3 linked regions of the Drosophila melanogaster genome follow. The protein of the gene in region 2 interacts with the protein of the main gene of each other region in a pairwise test. Each region holds a gene or a part of one and is shown on either strand. Other genes may lie near its edges.

What was found.
Region 1: the proteins of Rh2 (region 2) and Ufd4 interact in a two-hybrid assay, tested with the Drosophila melanogaster proteins (one large-scale study listed by BioGRID).
Region 3: the proteins of Rh2 (region 2) and RpL4 interact in a two-hybrid assay, tested with the Drosophila melanogaster proteins (one large-scale study listed by BioGRID).

Annotation. Positions count from the first base shown.
Region 1 is NT_033779.5:10,288,202-10,296,752, forward strand, and holds the start of Ufd4 (ubiquitin fusion-degradation 4-like), read right to left. Parts: upstream 4,165-8,551; 5' UTR 4,009-4,164; intron 2,943-4,008; 5' UTR 2,906-2,942; intron 2,290-2,905; coding exon 2,150-2,289; intron 2,083-2,149; coding exon 363-2,082; intron 299-362; coding exon 67-298; intron 9-66; coding exon 1-8. Other genes in the region: hand, read right to left, coding at 4,580-4,660, 6,273-6,428, 6,662-6,858, 7,008-7,098; CYLD (cylindromatosis), read right to left, coding at 7,716-7,909, 7,971-8,167, 8,223-8,364, 8,424-8,551. UniProt on the Drosophila melanogaster protein: E3 ubiquitin-protein ligase which accepts ubiquitin from an E2 ubiquitin-conjugating enzyme in the form of a thioester and then directly transfers the ubiquitin to targeted substrates.
Region 2 is NT_033777.3:18,896,284-18,903,627, reverse strand, and holds Rh2 (rhodopsin 2), read right to left. Parts: upstream 4,206-7,344; 5' UTR 4,151-4,205; coding exon 4,052-4,150; intron 3,956-4,051; coding exon 3,039-3,955; intron 2,957-3,038; coding exon 2,923-2,956; intron 2,869-2,922; coding exon 2,773-2,868; 3' UTR 2,609-2,772; downstream 1-2,608. Other genes in the region: CG34284 (uncharacterized protein), read left to right, coding at 721-765, 842-1,171; CG14294 (uncharacterized protein), read left to right, coding at 1,439-1,858; CG14297 (uncharacterized protein), read right to left, coding at 4,393-4,755, 4,818-4,991, 5,053-5,234, 5,302-5,335. UniProt on the Drosophila melanogaster protein: Visual pigments are the light-absorbing molecules that mediate vision. They consist of an apoprotein, opsin, covalently linked to cis-retinal.
Region 3 is NT_033777.3:27,917,563-27,925,602, reverse strand, and holds RpL4 (ribosomal protein L4), read right to left. Parts: upstream 2,783-8,040; 5' UTR 2,687-2,782; coding exon 2,684-2,686; intron 2,479-2,683; coding exon 2,298-2,478; intron 2,234-2,297; coding exon 1,863-2,233; intron 1,689-1,862; exon of another isoform or gene 1,542-1,688; intron 1,464-1,541; coding exon 813-1,463; 3' UTR 715-812; downstream 1-714. Other genes in the region: BCAS2, read left to right, coding at 3,330-3,404, 3,472-4,233; CG12259 (uncharacterized protein), read left to right, coding at 4,609-5,688; Boh1 (buddy of Hmr 1), read left to right, coding at 6,320-7,345; mRpS22 (mitochondrial ribosomal protein S22), read right to left, coding at 7,420-8,040.

The sequences.
Region 1 (8,551 bases), on a different chromosome or scaffold from region 2:
AGGATCATCTACATGGGATGGTCCGATCGATAAGAATTGGTTTCAAATCAAATATATTGAATATACCTGATGTTGGCCTAGGAGCAACGACTACACTGGTCGACGATCTTTGCGCTGCGGCTGGTTCCTCTACGGTCCCTGGTAATTGTACATACAATTCCTCCGCATCGGTGTCCATCAGGGCTTGGACCTTTGCAAACACTCCTAGCCTTGCAAAATGATCGAGGAATTCCTCCTGTGTCTTACACATAATTTCCTCAATAATATTTAAAACTATTAAATGACCGTCACCGTCATCCTGCAACAATATCGTTAAAGATAGTAATTAGATTTGAGTGATGATGACTGCTTATTGTTTATACCTCGTTATCTAGGACACTGGCGATCACCTCAATTAGTAGGTTCCCACCATTTTGACCCGATGTCGACGCTGCATCTTCGCTAAAACTGGTTTCACTGAGACTTTGGAGCACCGTTGGGTACGCGTACTGAACTATCTTTTTGATCAGGGCCAAACTGGCCCGCCGGACGCTGCCCAGCATCGAACCCAGGAACGTTCTACAGAATATGGGCAGAAGGACCTTTAGGTAAATGGGCGCCATTTCCGGATCACCTCGGGGCTCCATTAGTGTGTACTTTTTGCCATCTTTGTTGAGAAGCGAATGATCTGGCGACATCCACTCCCCAGGCGACTGCAAAATTGCCGCTACCTCTCGATGTCCATCGTCTAATCTTTCTCGCGCCTTATCCAATGGCGTTTTCCCATCTTCATCTCGCAAATCCGGATAGGCTCCGAATTTCAAAAGGATTTTCGCAATAGCCGGGCGACCAAAACAAGCTGCATAGTGTAGGGACGAACTTCGTTGACCCTTGTTGACATCGGCTCCCTTCTCACACAAATATTCTACCATTTCCAAGGTACCGAAGGCCGAAGCCCAATTGAGAAGTGTTTGGCCCACATCGTCCATACAATTGACGTCAATGCCACCCGATTCGATGGCCTCACGAAGGGCTTCCGAATCCTTTGATCGTATGCAATCAATGAGCTGGCGATGCGTGCGATCGGTGTTGGTATTATTACGCCTTGGTCGAGGCGCCAACTGTCCCTGATTGGGGTTGTTACTTCCTCGGTTTAATGCTTGGCGACCCTCGAACAATAGTAACAGCAATAGATCCGCAAATCGCATGCAATCCAACACGCATCGCTCATCGCCCTGCAGAGCTCTTTCGAGGGCATCAGCCAATTGGGATCGCAAAATGTCATGGGTAATCGAGGGTGATCCGCGACAAAGTGTGGACAACAAGGAAATCGTTGTTGATATCGATTGCGGCGAGGCGGCGGCATCAGATGACTTAACCTTGGTGCTGTTGGATATGGTTGCAGTTCCAGCAACGTTTTCATTAATGGCATCCGAGTTTGTGGTTGCAGCGGGTTGGCTAGAGCTGGTTGGCTGGGTTCCAGCCGCTGTCAGCGAAGAGTGCGTGTTTCCTCCGACACTTTGGAGGCGCTTCAACAACTCGGTTGTCAGGCCGTACTCTGCCAACGGTGCTGGGTCCACCCACTTTCGTGTAAATCGATCTGCTACAGAGGCAAAGCACTTTAGAGCTCCATCGGATACCATGGGGTCCTCGTGTTGCAGCAGAGTGCTCAGACTCTCGACGCAGTTTTGTATGCATGGAGTATTAGGTTCCACCTTGGTGCAGAGCCTGGATACCACCGACATGGCCGAGTGTAAGGTGTCCTTGTGAACCTGCGAGCCACAGTCCCGTATGAAGGACAGTACGCAGTTGAGGCCGCCGCCCTCGAAGACGGCGCCAGCTTCTCGGGTGCAAATCAGCTCGAGCACTTTGATACATTGCTCGGCAAGATCGCGAGATGTGCGCGATGATAGATCGGCGACCACTAGATGATTGCATATGGCTTTGATGGCGCCATCAATGGAAACGATACGCCTGGTGCACTCAGCCGAAACATCCAGGTAATAGGTGATGGCTCGCGCAGTGACCTCGAGTACATTTTCAGGTGCAAGTTCGTCCAGGAATATCTTACACAACGCCGGTAAAAATGTTCGAGGAGGGCAGCTGATGTTGGGGACGGACAGATTAGATAGTGATCAAATGGTAAATCTTCTATCGCTGACAATAATACCTTTCGAAGCAACGATCTACATTATCGGACATTAGGAGCAGCATACACAGCTGCTCCAGTGCGATTAGTTGCATATCCCGCTCATCTCCTTGTCCCATGGACAACCATTCCAGCAGCGTCTCGGGGTCGACATCGCCCATCTGTAAGGAAAACAACAACAAAATTTTGAATATTGACTTTAAAGCTGACTTTATTATACATGTAATGTATTGACAGCTGAGTCACAAATCATCAAAAGAAGACGTGGAGCCTTTTAATGGGTGCCTTACGTGTAGTTCAACTAAAGAGGAATAGATACTTAATATATGGACTTGTAAAACAGACAGGGCAGAAGAATATATATAAGAAATAATATACAATATTCCGGACAGTTCTTTCAAATTTTGGATGATCTGAACTAAATCTTTACGTGCGATTTAAATCTTAAATTCACAACCTGAAGATCTAATTTTTGTTAACTTTTGTTAATCGAAGTCATAAAAAATCAAACATCTAGTTTGTAAAAAAGAACGTAGATCTTTGGGACTTATATTTATTTATATATAAACTTTAGTTGCTTGCGTTTTATTTTGTTTTTACTCAGCTAATTACTGAGCACAGCACGTAATTATTTAACGTAGACAGCAGAATTGATAACATTTACTTTTCCAATGAATTAGAAAACGTCATAGTTCTTGAACATAACTTATTGTTTTTTAATTTGTTTAATGCTTTACTTAACAAAAAGTATTTAATATGTATGTATATTTAACTTACCGCAAATCGAAATTTGATTTATGCTTCTACACCAAAACTGAAAAAGAAAGGAATTATATAGACATTAACAATAATATTCTAATGACTCACGGCTTTCATATAAATTATTTATTAACATACGAGAAAAGTATAAAAAGGGTTCTGGACTGAAATAATTTTATCTAGTTGATAGGACAACTTTGGGTTGCTAGGCGTTTTTTGATTGGTAAACAAAGATAATATTACAATTTTAAATAAAAAAAACAAAAATTGAGTCAGCAAGTCGTTCCTTATGGGAATCGTTTCTTATAAGTGTGTACGTATTTCATCATTCTTATAGAGACTTATTGGCAATATTGGATTAGCCAATTGGATAAGAAATCTTTCCTTTTTGGGGAACCCGAATTGCCAAATGCACACATGGCGGACAAAGAGATAGTTGGAGGGAAATTGCGTAGTGCCATCTTAACTCAATAAAATTTCACCGCGATGACTCGAAGTTCGTCAAGTGATGTTATAATATATGTATGCACATATGTACGCTTGTACGTACATATGCGAATTGTTTTCATACAAGATAACGGTAAGTGCTAAAAACTGTTTTGAAAATCAACAACATAAGCATATGTACATCGATATGTACCGATATACACATACACATATGCATGTATGTAATCACTTTTTCAATTACACTTGATACTTTTTCTTGCACATGATAATAACGATGGGTATCCCGTTTTACGTTTTAGCATTACACAAAAGGTAATTTCATTTTTATGTGAAAAGAGAATTTAAAGAATCGTGTAAAGAATGATGACACTTTACGATTTTCTCTCCTTCAACGAATTACCAGTTGTGTATGTATAATTTAAAGACCTTTCTTTTCTGATAGCCCAACAATGGAGTTACATAAAAACGTAGTTGTAATATCCATTGTCTTTGACCAGGTATGTACACTAGTCACAATACATATGTGGACCACACGAAAACATGTGCACACGTAATGTAATTGTCCATTATTTATTAACATTAAGTGTCGTGTCTCTGCTCACACACATACATCCATATGCAAAAGAAAAATACACAAATCTTGAGAAAATTGTTGTTGAATAGAGATGATCTACCTTTTTTGCATTATATTGAATATTTTGCTAATGCTTGCACTCTTTTTTAAAGCTGCTTATTAAAGCTTTTTAACAATTACTCAATACACAACACTATTTTTATTCACACAAATATCTAGCAGCACAGCTCGAAAATTGATTATAGAGATTACATGTGGACGATACATTTAACAATCCATCGATAACCGATAACATTGGTGGCCAAGAAATAGGGGCATTCGTGGCCCTCAATCGTTTAAGCTTTTGTTTCCCATAATATAATATCTGGGTATTGACTTCCAAATCCCACATTCAAATGATTATTATTTTTATGAATCTTAGAGCAAGTTAAAAAAAATTTTTTAGATAAATTTTCTACCAAGTCTTTTTTTACGTAAAATATACTTATACTTTTTATTTGCTGACAACAATTTCAGGTTAGCCAAATTAAGTATTCTGCTTAATTAAACAATAAAAGGAACGTCTTTATACTGCTTGTTTATTTGTTTATTATTTTTCTTGTTGTTTTAAATATAGGTTATCAATATATATACATATATAGAATGAAATATTATTTTTGCAAAATATGGGTTTAATTATGTTCTGGAATAAGTTCCGATGCCCAAACATCTTGTGGCCAACCCGTGCGGCCCTTGGTCGACAATGGAACATTCTGAAATATAAATTGTCATTATTAATTGGAACAAATAGATCATTTATTATGCACATGCATGATTTTACGAAAATCTTTTAATTGAATCTGTTACATTGCTTGCAAAACCGTTAACCGAATTGTCGAAGACGAAAATGTTCTTCATTTTTTGTTATTAGGATATACGTATTTCTTTTATGTTTTTAGCTATATCCCAACTACGGTTAAGAATTGCATACTTTTCAGACCCATTTATGTTAAATATCTAATGAATTTAATCCAAATGTCTGCACACTTTTCAAAACTATGTCGAATTTGAGTACATGACTATTGAAAACTCGAATTGTGGATTTCAAAGCATTGCATTTGAGTAACTCAATTTGTTTATACAGGTCATAGTTTTCTTTTTTTGTATACAACTTGTACCCACAAATAGACAATTAAGAAGTAAACAAAAATTTAACACGTGCACGGAAGCACTATGGAAACACTTTACTTTTTTATTTAGAAATGTAGTTCACTTCTAATTGTTTGTGAGTCCCAGATAAAGACAACATCCACTGGAAAATAGTTCTTATCCTTTTTTAAATTTAACAACTAATGTTTTGTTTTCTTTACTTCTTTTGTCAATGTCAATGTTATAAAAACTATCTTTATGAAATACTTAAGCAAAGCTTATAGGTTCAAAAAATTTTAATAAAAAAGAATACTTCAAAACTTCAATATTTCCAAAAAGGCACTTAATTAATCAAACCCCTAATGGATTAAAATGTTTCTGAAGCACCACTTAGACACTTGTCTCTTGTGTTCATATCTAAAACCAGATTGCCCTATTAAATAAGTGTTCCCAGCCATTATTTCACCCCCATTTTATGAAGGAGGCGGTTGGTTAGCATGGATTCTCAATTACGGATGCAGGCGTCTGCGGTTTATCACTTCCGAAATTGCACAATAAAGTACAACTTACAACTGGTCACTGGACCTGTGTACATATATTTCGAAACCCGATTTTTGAAGCTAAACATGGCACCGCACTTCCATTAGGAATATATCTACAATCAATCGAGTTTTTATCTGCGGATTACAAGGGGAATGGAATTACGCCTATTTCTTTGAGGGAAAAACGTAAAATGCTCTTTTATAAAGTCAAGTGCTTTTGTTTCTTATAATAAACAAACAATTGAGATATCTACGCCCCAGTGCAGAAAAAGGGGGAGAAAATATCTTGTGTACCATAAAAATACAAATTCCGAGCAGAGATCTCAACGAAATGAAAAAGCCAAATAGAATAGTAGAACTATAACTATATATCAATGCAAAAAAACAAACAATACGCCCCTTATAGCGGGAACATTGTCTTTATCTATATCTTTGTACAACAAAAATCAGCAAGCCAATATGTTTTTTGAATGAAATATCAATTAGGTTATGGTATCTTAACTCATTTACCTACAGTAAAAACAAAAAAGATTTTTAATAATTTTTTTGTTTGAATGCATGAAAAGCGGCAAAAATATGTATGAATTGTTATTCCGCCGGATAAACTTAAATCCAAAATTCAAAGCGATCAATTTAAATATATGTAGTGATTGGTTTGTTATTGAAAGCATGACAAAGTAAATTACTCTCTTACTTGAATCTCTGATTTCAAACAGTGCTTCTTTTCGCTACAGATCTTTCGACTGACCGGCTTAAGTTCGGCTCGAAATCCGCCTTTTGGATCCAGATCTCCATCAAGAACATTAACTAAATAGTTTATGTACAATATGGCCAACTTCAATGTTTTAATCTGTCAAGTAAACCAAGCAAACGGACACAAACAAACTTCAAATTTATAAATAATTGAATAAGTTATTATAAAATATATTTTTCGCTGGCTATTTTATCTTAATTCTTAAACAAAGTAAAAGTAGAATATAGTTAAGATTGACTTAAGTAGGAAACATTAAAATCCAACCTTCATGTGCTTATTGGTGTATTTAAGTATTAAATTCAAGATTATCTATCCGTCGGTGAAGTTACCTTTGATAATTTAGTATCTGTAGGAACGTTGGGAATCTTTTCTCGCAGATAGGAAAACGCATTGTTTATACTTTGGGTTCGCCTTCTCTCCTTTTTGTTAGCTGTATTACGTTTCTTAACAATCCGAGTATTCGAAGTTGGCACATAACCTAGGTGACTTGTGTTATATATTTGTTGCTGAACTTGACTTTCGGAGTCTGAAATATTTGGAAAATATATACATTATTTTCCATACACACGAAAATATAAAATAAAAGTCGCTTTTGTACTGGAATTGGTACCACAAATCACTGTCCCAATTTTATTTAAATAACAGCGAAGTAAGAAGAATGATTTAAACATTTACGTTTCATGTCGAACATGTTGGAAGTATTATAAATTGAGTTATAATACATGGTTGAGTATTCGCACGTCAAGGCAACGGAATTCTTAAACATTTTCTAATTTAACGTAATTAAATTCAAATCAAATTCGCGGCTTAAGATCGACATTTTCGCAGATAGTGCGTCGCACGTAAAACTCGTCTTTGATGTCTGGCAAGTAACTGAAAAACTTTTTCACTTGTTTAGTGAATGTGCGCCGTCGAGTGAACAACATCTGGATATCCTCCCTCCAAATCCACCAATCGCAATCGCCGACGTTTTGCGTCGACCAATGGTGGGCACTTCAAGATTTATATGTATGTATGTACTCCCGTGTATACATACATCCATATATATCCGGAATATGAACTGCCTTTCATGGTCTAGTGATCCGTAGTTCTCTAGATGGTTCAGTCCTGTTTCTGGAGTCACCTTGAAAACTTCTCCTAACAAAAAGCACTTCCTAATTGTTACAAACTTTTTGTAAAAAAAATATAAGCTACTTGGTATATTAGTTATAGAAAACCACCTATCTTTATTTTTTCCTGTTATATATGTAAAGCCTACCCATATTAATATCATAAAACATATTTTTCAACAAACCAATAACCATTAATAGGCACAAAATCCATTTCACATGTGATTTTTACAAAAATTTTATTGCATTCATTTAATTTATTGATAAATTTGCTCTAATGGTACATCATTATATCTGTGCTTTGGTACAGACACATATAGGCATCGCAAAAAATACGCTTGGCGTGTTCAGGTAATACTTTATCGTTCGTTGAAGTTTCATTTATAGATCGTGCGCCTTCTTCCGAGAGCCACTGTGTTAATTCTGGAACACACGTAATTTCAGGTATATTGTATCCATTCTGTTCGCCTGAAATAACATTTGCGTAAGTATAAGAAACTTGTTAGGTTAAAACTAAGATTTTGCTTGCCTTTTCGATCAGCCATTGAATCGAAGAAACACCATGGAGCATCTGGTCCGGATCCAGACTTGACAAATGCCACGTAGTGAGATGTTTCTATGCAAACGACTGCAAATAACTCCATGTACAATCGCGGGACAACCATGTGCTCGGCCATGATTTTAAATTCCTTCGGACTATAAATCTTCTTCGACACATGATTCGTTCTGAAAGATAGGTTTTTAATTGGTTTTCATTCATTTATCTATGAAGATAGCTGACCTTTTGATGTGACTGTGAAATGTCTTGAGACATTTTGGACAAAAGGCGGTGCATTCCAGTCCTGATCCAGCCTGCAAGCTGCCAAAGCAATCCCGGCACTCGTATTCAGCTAGTTTGCCACAAAGTGAGCACTGTCGAGGAGCTGCAAGTTGAATTTTGTTAAGATTCGAAATGCAAATTGTTATATTGTTGAACACCTACAATTTTCAATTATGTCTGTGACATCAAGAACCTGCGATGGCAATATCCTTGGATACATCTTGTAGTTCTTTCCGAAACGAGGCATTTGAATGATGAAACAAGAAGGAACCTCCTTTAGTTTTATATCC
Region 2 (7,344 bases):
GCTCTGTTTTGGTAATGCAAAAGTTGCGGCATTTGAAATTCAGGCAGCAGCAGCAAAACAAAAAATGGTAATTTCGAGCACAGAATGAAATCCAGCCGCAACTGCCCAACTAAGAGTATATATAAATCCGAAATTGGTTAGAGGAAAAAATTAAAAAACAAAAAAAAAAGAAATAAAAGCAAAATGCGACACATACGAAGGGATTCTACGGAAAGTGCATGTATGGAAATTTGTTTTCGGTTTGCGGCTTTTTTTGTTTTGATGCAAAAGTTGTGTGTGCCCCCCAAAGTAGGCAACAAAATTTCTGCGGCTTTGGACTGTGTCAAAGTTCGTTAGTTCGTTTGTTATTCGACGATATTGTGGGTCGCAAAAATTAGTGCAAAAACTAAATCCGTTCACGACCAAAGTTCCAATCCAATAGTGAATCATCCCACAAACTGAATGGTGTTCATCCGTAGTTTGCTATTAGCACTTGCTACTGTTATTTGATTCCCGAGTGCCACTTCCGCTGATAAAGTTATCTAATTAATCCAGCAAATATACGCTTATGGACCAACATAAAACATAATGGGGTTGAGGCTATCGTTTCGTATTGCACTCAGATAGATGGTGAGATAATGGAGGCTGTAAACTCTATCAAAGCGCAAACAGAAGATAAGTTTGAATGTCTTTCGAGTTTTTCAAATTGTGCTTCAGTCGGTCATTGAAAGTTTCCAGAAAATGTCGAGTGCAGTGCTGATAGCTTTCTGCGTCTTGGTTGTTTTGGTAATTGAAAATAATACTAAACACAAAAAAAAATCTTTAAAAATAATCTATTTTTTCATATATATGCGCTCAATAGACCGGACAATCGGTTGGCCAAAATGTGGCCGTGCAACAGTCAATTGATTGGGCCAATGAACAGTTCAAAATCGCTCAAGTTGTGGCCCAAGGAAAGCTACCCAACAGTGTTGAGGCCCGGAACGATGCCAATGACCAATTGGACACTCTGAAATTGGCTTTATCCCATTGCGAGGCTGAGCTGAAATCCACCCAAGGTGTCGATCTTCACAAGACTTGTGTTAAAGCCGTCTTCGCTGGCTTTTATACTGCCTTGGATCGCTTGGCCGCGGAACACTGGCCCATTTATGGAGCCACCTCTGGTGCCGCCCGAATTGGCTTCTTCTGCTAATTAACGTAATCATCTTACAAAGTTTAACCACATAGAGGAATATTTAGGAATCTCATAGAAGTCTAATATGTTATACAGATTTGGAATATGTTCGGAATAATAAAAAGTTATTAGGGTTGGATGGATTTGTTTTACTATGTTGTATTTCGTGCTTGTGTTTAAGGAATTTTACTTTTGTATAGAGATGTCAAGGTGTGTACTGCCTATGACAGCCATTTATTCTAAACAGAATCACAAAATTTTTTAGTTCGAACCACTTAGTGTACAATGAGTTGGCTGTCAACCATTTTCGGTATTATTTTGATAACACTTTTGTGTACGATATGGATAGCAGCGCATCCGCGATGGGAGCAAATGGCCAAAGCTGTGGCCTCCAAGATGAACTACGACGACCAGCATAGAATCCACACCGCATCTAGGGCAGCCAAAAACGTGGATGCGCAGATCCACGATTTCTACGTCAAGCTGGAGAATCAGAAGAAGGTTGCTGCCCGTGAAGTATTGGATAGTGCATACACTGAAACGACCAAATGCATCGAGGTATTCTACAGTGGTGAGCTGGAGCAAACGTTTAAGGACTGCATCGAGCACGTCACCCGTCTGCACATGGAAAGGCTGAGGTCACTCCTCCAAATTACCACTAAGCGACAGGCGAGCGGAGCAAGCAGACTTAAAATCTGGCACTGATAATACCCTGGAGTCTTCCCAGGATCGCTGGCAGGCAACGAGTCTGTTTTCTTTGCACCCAGTGCTTTCTGATGTACTTTAATTAGACAGTCAACTCGAGACCCGTCAGTGCAGCTTTTCATCTCAATCTGGGTGGGTGTGATTTCGGTGGGAGGGGATGGCATTCTAGTGCTCATTAGGCAAATGAGTGGTGTGGGTTGTGTAGGAGGCTGGAGGCCGTGGGTGGTGGCTGTTTCGTAATTATAATCATTAGACGCGAGACAAAACCCTCACAAAGCAAATAGCGACATTAGCTGCGTGGAAATGTGTGTCAATGAAGATGAATCTGCCCGAGACGCCAGGGAGTTGAACTCTGCGACTGGCATTGTTGATTTTGCAACGCTGGAGGGTCCGCCTTCGTGGAAGTTCAAAATTACGAGAGTTTTGGGTTTGGGGGACTAATGAGAATGCAATGAGTGAGTGGCAAAATGCATGCATATTTCCATTCACAAGTTCAATCATTTGCTGTGATTTAATTGCGTTCGTAGGAGATGTCGCTGAATACTTTGGGTATATGGAAGTCAGCATTGAATGGTGCAGCTTTTTAGAACTTAATGGGTTTAAAATTATAGCTATATATATATAGCTACATATATGTGTACGAGAAATTTGTATAATTAATAGTTTAAACACAAACTAGCCATTGGTAACAAGATTTACAACTTTACAATATTTAATACTATTAGAAATAAGTAAGTTTCAAAACAATTTGCAAACTAACTTTATTTTGTAAAGTTTTAGGAAACTACTTTTTGTTATACTGAGGTTTATTCCATTTTTTTTTTACATTTTTGTATCACTTTACGATATTGCATCACTTTTTTTAAACTTTTCTGTGCCCTTTGCAGGCAATTGCGTTGGTTTTTTTTCACGATTTAAGCCTTTGAATCCGCCTCAGATGTAGTTTCCGTATCGGAAGCGGGTGCATCCGGTTTCGGCTCATCCGTATTGCCAAACACACACATAGGGCACTAAAGGGCGAGAAAGGATTAGTGAATAACATTAGAATGGCTAAAAAGGTATACCTTTTCCTTGAGAACTATGCGGTACTTGGGATGGCTAAGGAAGTTAAGAAACATATAAATTAGATATAGATATCAAACGGAAATTGTTTTTTTTTTAAACCTATTTATTCACTCACCTAATGCCGTACACAATCGGATTGTAGACTGCGCTCGTTTTGGCGAAAGTCGCTCCCCAAATGGTCGTCAGTGGGGTCAATCCGTCGATTTTGAAGAGTCCGAAGTAGCAAATGACAAGGTATGGTGTCCATGCCATAAACCATAGGGAGATGGTAGTTAGAGCCACCTTGGCCAGTTTTCCCTCGGCACTTTTGTCGCAATCCTCAGAGCTCCGCAGGGATTTCACATTCATCTTCTTGGCCTGTTCCCGCATCGCTTTTTCATGTGCTGCCACGGCGGCAATGATGAACCAGTAGGAGTAGCAGATGAGAAACAGTGGAGTGTAGTAAACGAAGAGGGAGTAGGTGATTAAATAAGATCGCGGGTTCCACATACGCGTCATATAGTCAATGCTGCAGGCAGTCAGATTGCCCTCGGGCACATAGGCGCTCCATCCAATCAATGGCATGACAGTCCAAAAGACAGCCATCATCCAGATGAAAAGTATCTTCATTATAGACGTCTTGATGGTCATGGGTGTGCCATTGATACCCTTCACTATCACATTGTACCGATCGAAGGCAATCATGCACATGGACCAGATGGACACACAGCCAAAGAGCGAGCCACATCCCGCGTAGATGTCGCACCACAGCGGACCCAGCACCCAAGTCTCGTAGTAGAAGTTAATAATCATCACCGGCGACTGGGAGGCCATCATACAGAAGTCGGAGAAGGCCAGGTTGAGAACGAGCAAATTTGCCGGCGTGCGCAGCGACTTTGTTCCACCGAAAATGTAGACCACCACTCCGTTGCCGCAGCACGAGATGATCATAATGGCCAGGGTGAACAATCCCAGAATTTTGCTCATCATGGGATCCATGGGCGCAAAGCGGCTCCAGTAGGGGTTCACCAGGTGCGCCATGTCGGGCAGCACCTGCGGGATTGCAAGAAGGCAATAAGTTGAAGTGCCACCACAAAGGATTACAATTAAAACTAGAACTAACATAAATCATTTCCCCCAATCACTCACATTGTCCAGCACGGAACCATTGCCACTCGACTGGGCCTGAAACCTGGGCCCAGAATGGGCCAGGTCGAATGGCGTCTCCGGCAAATGACTGCGCTCCATGCTCAGCTACCCGCAACCCCTTTGACTAGACGATGGCTCATCGAAGTGGATCTGTGCCAAGAGGCCGAATTCCCAGCCCTTTATAGATGTTTGCTAACCCAATTAGCCGCTCATCAAAAGAGGCGCAGAAGACTTATAGACGGCGGACAGCTGCCAGATAAAAGTCAATTTTATTTAATTTCATACGCTACATAATCTAAGCGCAAGGTTAATTTGCCGCCTTTGAATATTAGTTCTTGACACTAAAGGGCAGCCAGAAATTTCTGTCCACATTTCTGGCACAGTTTTCGCTGCACTCCTTGGCTGCAGGATGGCATCGAGGTCTTCGAGTTGGATGGGTCGGTCGACGAGGACATCAGTCCACCGGAGGATCTTATCTCCGTGTTTAGCAGATATATGCCACTGTTGTTATGGCTTGTTTCCGTCAAGTGATTCGCCTTGGCCGAGTCCTGCGGCGCATTATCCTTGCCAGAGTAGTAGAGCTCATCATCATCAGTGCTGGGTAGCTCGTACTTGACAATGTCCACTTTTTGGCTAAGGATGAGCTGCTTGCAGCACTCTTTGATTTGGTAATAGGCGGATCGAAAGTTCTTTAGCTTGTGGGTCTGGATGGATTGCAATTGTTCGACATATACAAGTGGGTTGCTTAATGCTCAAATTAACTCACTGGGGATAGGCTGTCTATAAAGGCCGGCAGTCCATTCTTGCCAAACGAACTCAGAAGAAGTACCTGACAGTGTTTGCCAGCCCTGTTGTCCGCAGCCCAGAGGAGCAGTTCTTTGAACACGGCCTCATCCATTGCCACAACATAATCAAAGTACAGAAAATCATTCACGGTGAACTATAGAAGTAAGAATCTATACATATGTGGAGTTCATAAGTTGGCGCTAGGATAAGTTCACCTGACGACAAAAGTGATCGGATCGCAGTCCGTGCTCTCGCAGAATTTGCAGGCATCGCTTGTTCGGTCGCCGTCCAGTGTTCCATGTCCTCAGACCGGCACTATCCACCTCCCAGTAGAGACTCGTCTTGACCATCAGATTCTGCATAATCACCTCGGCCATCGGAGAGCTGCACGAGTTGCCTTCGAAATGACGTAAGTTTTTCATGCAAAATGGCAAAGAAATTGAAAAGAAAATCTCATTTCTTACCCATGCACACAAATAGTATTTTCTTGAAAGTCATTTTTATTTTTCTCTTTATACGTTTTACTTGGCTAAATTCTCCCACTTTCAACTATAATTTAAACTAATTTTCCTAACTTCTTTTTCGAGACTTATGTTGTATTTGACTGAGTTTTTAAATTGCCTGAAATACATGTCGAACGGAACAAATGACACGGCTTACTGGGTGGACTTCCTTTGCCCATTCAATCTACTGAATGGCCTGCTCCGTTTAGCCCAATGAACTCGACGCCATGGTTGGAGTAAATGACCATTTGCTAAGATAATCATTCCCACTAATGCACTTTTTACACCACTTGCAGTTCTCTCAACCCATTGAGGTCCTTTGTCAGGACAATGCTTGTTCTGTGCTCGTGTGCCACGCCCACAAACCCATTATTCTGCCAGAAAGGGGCGGGTGGCAAGATAGTGTCACGTGGCTGTCAGGTGTTGGCCCACGTACAGTCTTGTCGCGAGATGCATTCGAAATTAGTCAACAGGTTCAGCGAACTTCCAGCAAAGGTAAGGAAAATTGGACGAGAAGAGGGCCAACTCCAGTCATGTATGTTAAATGGGCAGAAGACATGCACTAAACTTAAAGCAGTTTGGCTTTTAAGATGCATGATTATAGTAATACAACACTAAAGTCATAGTCCAATACAAATTTATTAAATATGAAATTTAATCTTTTCGCTACTTCCGAGATTAAAGACAATTTGTTTTTCCGTGTAGTAATGATTGACCCAATCCCTGCTTATACTGATGTCATTTCACGATGACACTTCAGCGCACAATACAGTTGGAATTCATTTTAATTCAGTCTCAATTAAACGACTTCTGTGTGAACTCTCGGATCAATTTTGAACATTTCAGATGGCGAAACACTATGCCAGCATTTTTTTTTTTACTCTTTATTTTTATTTCGATTTACCTTGCCCCTTGTTGAGACGAGTGGAGCGATGGGGTGGTTGGCTTGTAACTTGGCCATTGGCAATATCCAATTGGAATTGCATTGAACGACTAAATTGAAAATGCAGCTGAAAAAGCATATTTCACTTATCACTTTTCACACAAAACACACAAGCAAAGGCCAAAACAAAGGGCACTCTGGCCAAAAGGGGTGGCCGGCCAGTTGGTGCCAGGAAAAGCGGGCCAAATGAAATTGTAAGCGCAAAAGTAAAGCACAACAGCAACATGCAGTACACTTGCAACAGCAACAGCAACAACAACGCCAGCGAAAACAGCAACAAGTCACTCACGAACCGGGTGAGTGGGAAATAATATGTGTGCTCGCATGCAGGATGGCTTGTGGGTGGTTGGGTGGTGGTTGAATGGCCTGGGTGGTGCAAAGCGGGTTAGATGCCGGACAGAAGTGTGGCTCTGGCACTGCATTGTTGTTTTAATTAAAAACAAACCTACCGAGCTGCTGGCCCGACAAAAAAAAAAAACAAAAAAGAAGCTGGCAAAAAAAGTAAAGCCAAAGTGAGCAACCTGAGTGGACAAAAACGAAGGCGGGTGGTGTGTGTGGTCCTACGCTGGTGCCTGAGCGAAAGTGTTGAATATTTGGAGCAAAGCTAAAAAAAAAAAACACAAACACACAAGAAGCAAATTGTGGAAAAAAATCCGAGAAAAATGTAGCAACGAAATAAAGAAAACCCAACGGACACACAACCGGAAATGTGCGACTATCTGCTCATACATATGTAAGTGTGGCCGCTTATGTGTGTTTGCTGCATTGCAACAACATTGGCTAATAGCAACCGTAATGCTGTGGCAGCATTTCGACCAAATTAAGGTATGAGCCACACCTAATGGCACTTTAAATGAAGCAGCCGAGTTGAAAATGCGAATAAAAAATGAAGAACAAATGAAGCTCAGGCCCGACCTGGCTGGCAAATGCATTTTGTTGACCACCGAATGCAATTTACAGCACAACAATCAGAGGTGAGCGCAAAATGTGGCAACTGCCCCCAAAAGAAACTAATAAAACACACAACTTTGTTGGCCCGGGCCGCCCAGGAGCTGCATTAA
Region 3 (8,040 bases), 9.0 Mb from region 2:
GGAGATGATGGCCGCTCCGCTCCAGCGTTCTCTCTGCGGGATGCCGATGCCGCTCTCGCTCTCCTGGCCGATCAGTGGTGGTGGTGGCTATATGGTATTGCGTTCTACTCAATATAACCAGACATTGGTCGCGACCCGCACATAGAAAATATCGTATGATCCGAGCTTTCAGATTTTGCGCGAGATAGCATCTACCTTTATTTTTGGCAAGCTGCTATATAATAAAGTGGGCTTGGAACCGGTTTACCGACTGCTACCTACTATGCTATGGTACCGTCGCGAAATTACATCGGTTAATTGAATCAAAAATATATATCCTTTGTTTCCCAGCCTTTTATTTGCCGCACAAAAGGGATTCGGTATATTCGCGATACGCAGAACCGCGCCAGTCGACCGTTCGCAGTCGAATAAGAGCGGCGACGACGCTCGACGCTTAATTAAATGCCAATTAACGTGTGACAATAAGTATATGTGCGGCCCATGGATGTGCGAACGTGTACGAAGACCAAGATCGGCATCGCCATCGGCGGCAGCACGACGGACGATAACGAAAGCTACAGCCGCCGCCACAGATACAGATGCAGATGCCATGCCGCTGTTATCAGCGCGAGCGGGAGAATGATAAGGGATGGGATCGCTCAGCGCGGCAGGCAAGACGACCAAAAAGAGAGCCAACTAAATGATGTGCCTAAGACTAAGAGTTTAATGAGCATTACTGTCGCGCACTCTATGTATTATGAATAAAATTCATACAACTTTTGTGGTTTATTATAATATAAAAGTGTGTCAGCTCTACTCGGGGGAAAGTAAGTTTACTTCTTGGCCGCTGGCTTCTTGGCGGCGACCTTCTTCTTGCGGGCGGCCAGCAGCTTGGCGCGATTGGCCGCAGCCTTGGTGGCCACATTGGCGAAGTGCGACTTGGCCAGCTCGACGTTCTGCTTCTTGGCCTTGGCCAGCACCTTGGCCACGGTGCGCTTCTCGGCGGCGAGGGCGGCACGACGCTTGAGGACCTCGGCATAGGGGTTAAGCTTGATCAGCTGGCGCACGTTGGTCAGGGGGTTCAGGCGGCGCACGCTGCGGAACACACGCTTGCGGGGATCGCGCAACACCTTGCGGATCTCCTCAGACTTGAGCAGACGCGACAGATCGGTGTTGGCCATCTTGGGCTGGGGCAGGTTGTAGCCCTTCTTCAAGGTGGACGGCTTCTTCCAGGTGCCGAACAGATCGTTCAGGCGGGCGAAAGCCGACTCGGTCCAGATGACAAAGCGACCGACATGACCGCCGGGGGCCAGCTTCAGCAGATTGAGCTTGTCCACGTTGATGGTCTCAATGCCGGGGATGTTGCGGAAGGCCTTGCGCAGACCCTCGTCCTTGTCGTAGACCACCAGGGGACCACGGCGAGCGATGCGGCGACGGTCGCGCATGGTACCACGGCCAGCACGGAAGCGCTGCGACTTGTACACCTGCGAAATGAATGAGAAACAAGTTGATAGTGAGTATGTATATTCCAGGAATTCGGAAATAGAGAACATGAATACAACAGCTGTTGCTCTTCCGTTACCACGATGGAAGCCGTGAATCAAGTTTCAATCGTAACGCCAAGAAGAGCATTTTATCTGGCAACGCAGGAGATCCCTGCAAGCATCGGACAACCAGAAGAGTAGCCAGTTGCTTGCACGCTGCCAAGTAAGATTTAGAAAGCATCCGAAAAGTAGGAATCCAATAAAAAGTTATAACTTTGCAATTAAAACATCACAACTTCACGTTTTGTTAAATAAATACGTTGAAGTTGAATAGACGCACAGTTAAGTGACCTAACATTCTTCGGATTAAGTTCTTCATAGGTGTACAAAGTTACCCACCTTCTGGATGTCAGCCCAGATCTTCAGGCGACGCAGGAAGATGACAGCCTGCTTGGTCTTCTGGACCTTTTGCACCTCATCGGACACGACCAGCGGGAACTCGGAGACGCCGTCGATGACATGTCCCTTGGACTGGACCAGAGCTGGCACTCCTGAGGCGGCGATGGCCGACACCAGGGCGTAGCGACGCTGGTTGACATTCACCTTGCGGTGCCAGCGACGGAACGTCTTGGTGGGGGCGAACATGCGTCCACCACGGCACATGTTGCCGAAGGCTCCCTGGCCGGAACGGTGGGTACCGCCACCACGCACACGGGGAATACGGGCCACAGCACGTCCGGTACCCCAGGACTCGGCGGAGGTCTGGTGACCTGCAAACAGGAATTCAAACGGGTTAGATTCACACAAAAGAGGAGTTATAAACAGTTTACTCACCAGCCAGCTCGCTGACGGCGTAGGCCTGTCGGTTGTTGCGGCGGAGCAGCTGGTGAACCTCGTTGACCACATCCGGACGAATGGGCGCCTTGAACACTGCCGGCAGGCATATGTTCTTGTCCTTGGCTGGCTCGTTCTTTTCCGTGTACACGGAGACCAATGGCCTGGCGTTGCCTAAGCTCTGAAAGTGCACATGGTATTCGGGTTTAGTTCACTGATCATTTCACATCACAAAACACAACAAGCGCATTTCGCCATCGCCGCACATTCCAAACACGTGGAGGTTAGGGCGACACTTTTGCACTATTTTCGCATCGTTTCGTGTGTTAAATCCAATGTTTTGGGGTCTGCTGCGGTTGCGGAGTGCCTTGTGCTTCGTTTCTCACCATTTTCGTTGATTTTCAAACCCAATGAAAGGTGCTAAATATTCTGCAAACGCAGATACCGTCCTCTTTTTATTAAGAAGAACGAAGAAAGAAAGAGAGCTGCCGGAAATGGCTGCCAATCGCGTTCCACGGCGCATGGTTGCATTTGCTAACAGCAGCAAGTGTCAAGCTTACAGGGCTAATTGGACGCTGTCCAACACTTTTAGCTTTTTTTTTCTCTCGTAAGAGAAGTTTTTGTTTATATTCTCGCAATTAAACTATAATATTACAAATCTAAATTCGAATTTATCAATAACGTATTTTAGTTAAATTTATAAATTAGCAATGCGTTTTTAAAGAACAAGAATACAATTGTTGTAATTTAACCGCATAATAAATAATCAAACAATACATAATACATACATACGTTAAAAACTAACTTACACAACTTTTATTGGTGAGAAAACAACGCTTATTTTTTGCTTAAATGTTCATGTTAAAACAAAAAAATTTACTAAATAGATATATGGCTATTAATTAACAGCATTCTGTTATCCGTTTATATAGCTATAAAGTAGCTAAATGTGCCACACTAGTGCGAAGCGGCAATTGTATTTGTTTACTTGCGGAAAAAACAGTCTCAAAACACAGAAATTAATAATAAATAATGGCTGGCGAAGTTATTGTGGATGCTCTGCCCTACATAGATCACGGCTATGACGATGTGGGCGTCCGGGAATCGGTAAATATACGGATATCCATGTTGCACGTTGAAACTGACTTTGAAATGGCATCTTCTTCTTCCAAAGGCTCTCGCCATGGTGGAGGAGGAATGCCGGCGCTATAGGCCCACAAAAAATTACCTTGACCATCTGCCACTGCCCGCCAGCTCGCCCTTTGAGACTCCGCTGATGGCCAACGAGTTCGAGCGCATCCAGAACCGCCTGCCCATGGAGACGCTCTCCATGAAGCGCTACGAACTGCCACCGCCGCCATCGGGCAAATTGTCGGAGGTGTCCGCCTGGCAGGAGGCCATTGAGAACTCGATGGCCCAGCTGGAGCACCAGTGGGTGCGCTCTCTCAACCTGGAGCTAATGCTCGACTACGGCACGGAGGCATGGAAGTCCTACCTGGAGGTCTTCACCGCCATGCAGGCGAAGGCGCAGCTCCAGCTGCAGCAGCTGAAGAAGGACATTCAAGATGTCAACTGGCAGCGCAAGCAGGCGCAAACGCAGGCCGGCGAGCGACTGCGCTCCCTGGAAGCCCATTGGGTGCTGCTGGTCTCCAAGAACTACGAGATCGAGACGGAGTGCGTCGAGCTGGAAAAGATCGTCCATGCCGCCCGTCAGCAGCTGCGGAAGATTACCCCGCCGCCCAGCGCCAATGACACGGCTCCAACGCCGGAATACACGAATGGTTTCGACCAGAACGATTTGGCCGAGAGCAACGGCAGTAGCTCCAGCAATCCAGATCCAAGCCAACCTGGCGATGATGGAACAGATGCCGATGGTGACAGCAAGGAGGAGGACAAATCCGAGGCACAGGAGGAATCTTCCAATGGATCAACGTAGATTTAGTACACTGAGCGAAAGCATGAAGCAAGTTAAAGAAAAACTTACGACTGTAACTAAATATAAAGGATATTAAAAAAAACAGCTAAAAATCTAAGATTTATCTTTATTTTTCAAAATCGTTGCAGAGAAATAGTGATCCTCTTCTTTTTGCTCTTATATCAGGGGAATGGACAGCTAGTAAATTTTAAATAATTTCAAGATTAAATATTTTATTATTTCAAATTGGTAAGGTAGTGTTTTGTGCTGTAAATTTTTTATACGAAGAATGGCATTTTTCAATGTTTCTGCTACGGTCACACCAATTGGATGTTTACAAATTTCGTTTACGAATTAAATAAAAAAAAATATAAATAAATACAGAAACAACTAAGGATGGCCCACTACAAAGGTGCCGCCAGCGAGGCGGGCCGTGCAGCCCAGCTGATGAAGAAGCGGGAGATCCAGCAGCAGGAGATCGAGTTTCGCAAGAAGAAGATCGAGGAGGAGCTCAAGCTGGACAAGATTGAGAACAAGTTTGCCACCCACTACGATGCCGTGGAGCAGCAGCTCAAGTCCTCGACCATTGGTCTGGTCACCCTCGACGAGATGAAGGCCAAGCAGGAGGATATAGTGCGGGAACGGGAGAAGAAGCTCGCCCAGAAGAAGGACGAAAAGGATCGGGAGAAGCAGCGCGCCCTGGAGGCCATTCAGGCGGAGAAGAACAAGCAGAAGCGGCAGATCCAGGCGCTGTCCTTCAACCTGGACGACGACGAGGAGGAGGAGGAGGAGGACGACGAGGATCACGATAAGAAACAGCTGAAGATTAAGCAGGAGGATCAGCCCAAGCCCAAGTGGACGGAGATCAAGGAAGACATTTTGCCCATAAAGAAGAAGAAGATATGCAAGAATCCTGACGTGGACACTTCCTTTCTGCCAGATCGCGAGCGCGAGGAGCAGGAGAACAGACTGCGCGAGCAGCTGCGTCAAGAATGGGTAATGCAGCAGGCGGAGCTGAAGGACGAGGACATCTCCATCACGTTCAGCTACTGGGATGGCTCCGGCCATCGGCGGAACGTGCTGATGAAGAAGGGCAACTCCATCTACCAGTTTCTGCAGAAGTGCCTGGAGCTGCTGCGCAAGGAGTTCATCGAACTGAAGACCGTAATGGCCGACCAGCTGATGTACGTCAAGGAGGATCTGATCCTGCCGCACCACTATTCCTTCTACGACTTTATCGTGACCAAGGCACGCGGCAAATCCGGCCCGCTCTTCCAGTTCGACGTCCACGACGATGTGCGCATGATAAGCGACGCCTCCGTGGAGAAGGAGGAGTCCCATGCCGGAAAGGTACTCCTCCGCTCCTGGTACGAGCGCAACAAGCACATCTTCCCAGCCAGCCGATGGGAGCCCTACGATCCCACCAAGTCCTACGACAAGTACACCATCAAGGACAAGGATAAGAGTAAAAAGTAGTGCTTAGGGCAGTTTCTGCCCGAATAATTGTACAATATAATAATGATTGATTTAATACATCAAAACAAACGAAAAATAACTACAATTTTTATTTGATTTTTCCACCAGATTTACAATCAGTTTAATTAAACTATTATAATAGGCATTGAATGAAATATAAAATATATAACAAATTTATGTTTGCTTAATACAATTTTGAATTCATTAGAAAATGTCATACTTCTCATAAGAATACCCCTAATTATTTAAAATGGCACTGTTAAGAGAACTTGTTGCTAAACAAATTTGGTAGAAATTTTAGTTTATAAACACAGTATAATCAGAGAACATGCAGTTATTCAGCACTTCGTATTGATTGCCATGAAAAAAGAACTGTTAGATTTATATTTTATTTTAATTTTTTAATATTCCAACTGTCATAATAGTCAAAAGAAGTCGGATATGGCGGGAAAAAAGCTAGCCCGCCAGCACCAATAGCAACATTGAATTTTTTGCGCCAGTAAAATTCGCGTCTTTTTATAAAAAGCAAGCGTAATTAATAACAAAAATAAAATAAGTTCCAAGTAAAATGTGAATTCATTTTTCGGATACGTATCGATTTAGTGCCATTTGAGAACCCCGAACCAACGAAATGTACCCGGCGCAACCGGCAAAGGTGGCGTTGGCCGGTCAACCGATATCCGCCGGAAAACCACCACGCCACAGCCCTGTTCAGATGAAGTCTATCCCTTTGCCCGTCTTCGAGCTGCCGGAATACGTGTGCGTGGAGACCAAGTGGGTGACACGCAAGTACGCGATAGAGAATGGCATTCCAGTGAAAGAACTGCATGCCCCGATCACCAATGGAGGCGCTACAGAGTCTCCCAAGAAATCCGTACAGCAGAAGAGACTCAACGAGGTCACTGGAATGTTTGCGAACGAGGCTATGGTGCCGCGCAGAGAGCGCGCCATTCAAACAGAGAATGCGGGCACTAAGGATGCGGGCATTCAATGCCGTCGCGATTCGGAGGAGTGGTATTTACCAGAGGAACGGCCAAAGGATACCGGTTCTGAGGCCTCCAATTCCGACAAATTTCTCACCTACGTGAGCGAGAACACATTCATATTTCCCAACGGCATGATGGAGTGCGCGGTGTGCGGCGATGTGGCCAAAACCTTGCTGGAGCACCAGAGCCACATGACCGCGCACTATGGACCTGGTGCTCTGTGCTTTCGCTGTGGTCAGCGTCTGGACCACCAGAAACAATTGAAGCAACACAGTCTGAGCTGTCCCGCTCTAGCGCCCAGGAAGTCATCGATGCTCTTTAAATGCCCACATCTACTCTGCAACGCCATGAGCCACTCAGAGATGCAGTTGCTCAGGCACCTGAGAAACCATAGCGGCAGGAAGTGCTACAGATGTCTTCAGTGCAAACGTTACTTCAAGACCACCACCTCTCTTTTGGTACACCGAAAAAAAGAACAGAGTTGTGCCAAGGCGAAAGTGGTCGTCCTATTTCGCGAACACAACGGGTTGCCCAATGGAAGAGGTGATCCCAGACGTTGCTCAGTTTGCTTGAAGCGTTTCAGCAGCGAGCGGGTATGCCTGCGGCACCGGAGACAGTGCATCCTTGGCCATTTTAGACGGCTGTCCAGGGTCCTCAAGAAGGAGCTATGAACAGCGTATAGAAATCTTGACCTAGCTGGTATTTATTAGTACATAGAAATCGATAACAATAAAGCGAATAGATCCTACGAAGCCTGGACGCCGTGAGCCTTTTTCAGTCCCTGGAACAGCATCAGTTTCTCCCGGTTAACTTCCTTAAGCGTCTGCACCGCCAGCTCCAGTTGCACCTTCTTCAGCGCATGTTCGCTGGCGATGTACTGCTCAATGAACTTCAGGCTGATCTCATCGGCGGCGAAATCGTGCTCCGTCTTGCCAATGGCCGTATGGATCTCCTGCTCAATGTTCTGCTTATTGTCATGTCGTCGGAAGACGCTTCTTAGCTCCGCCAGGGCACTTTCCGCCGGCGTGGCATGCAGTTTGCCCAGTTCGGTCAGCGTTGCCTGATACTCCACTGGGATGTTGTGTAGCTTGTAGCTCAGAGCAATCAGCTCCACGGCATTGTGCAGATAATCCCGACGGATCATGTCATACAGCAGGTCGTCGATGCAGCGGTGCCAAGCGTAGAAGAAGGCCATGGGTCCAAAGTGGCGGGTGGAGCGCAGAAGATCGAACTCCTTGGACTCGTTGAGATGCTCGAACACACGCGCTGAAATGTTGTGGAACTCCGGCTCATGTGGCTCGTACTGCACCAAGAGTCGATCCAGGATGAACTCGTACTTGTGCTCCGCCAAGCACTTGGCCAGCAG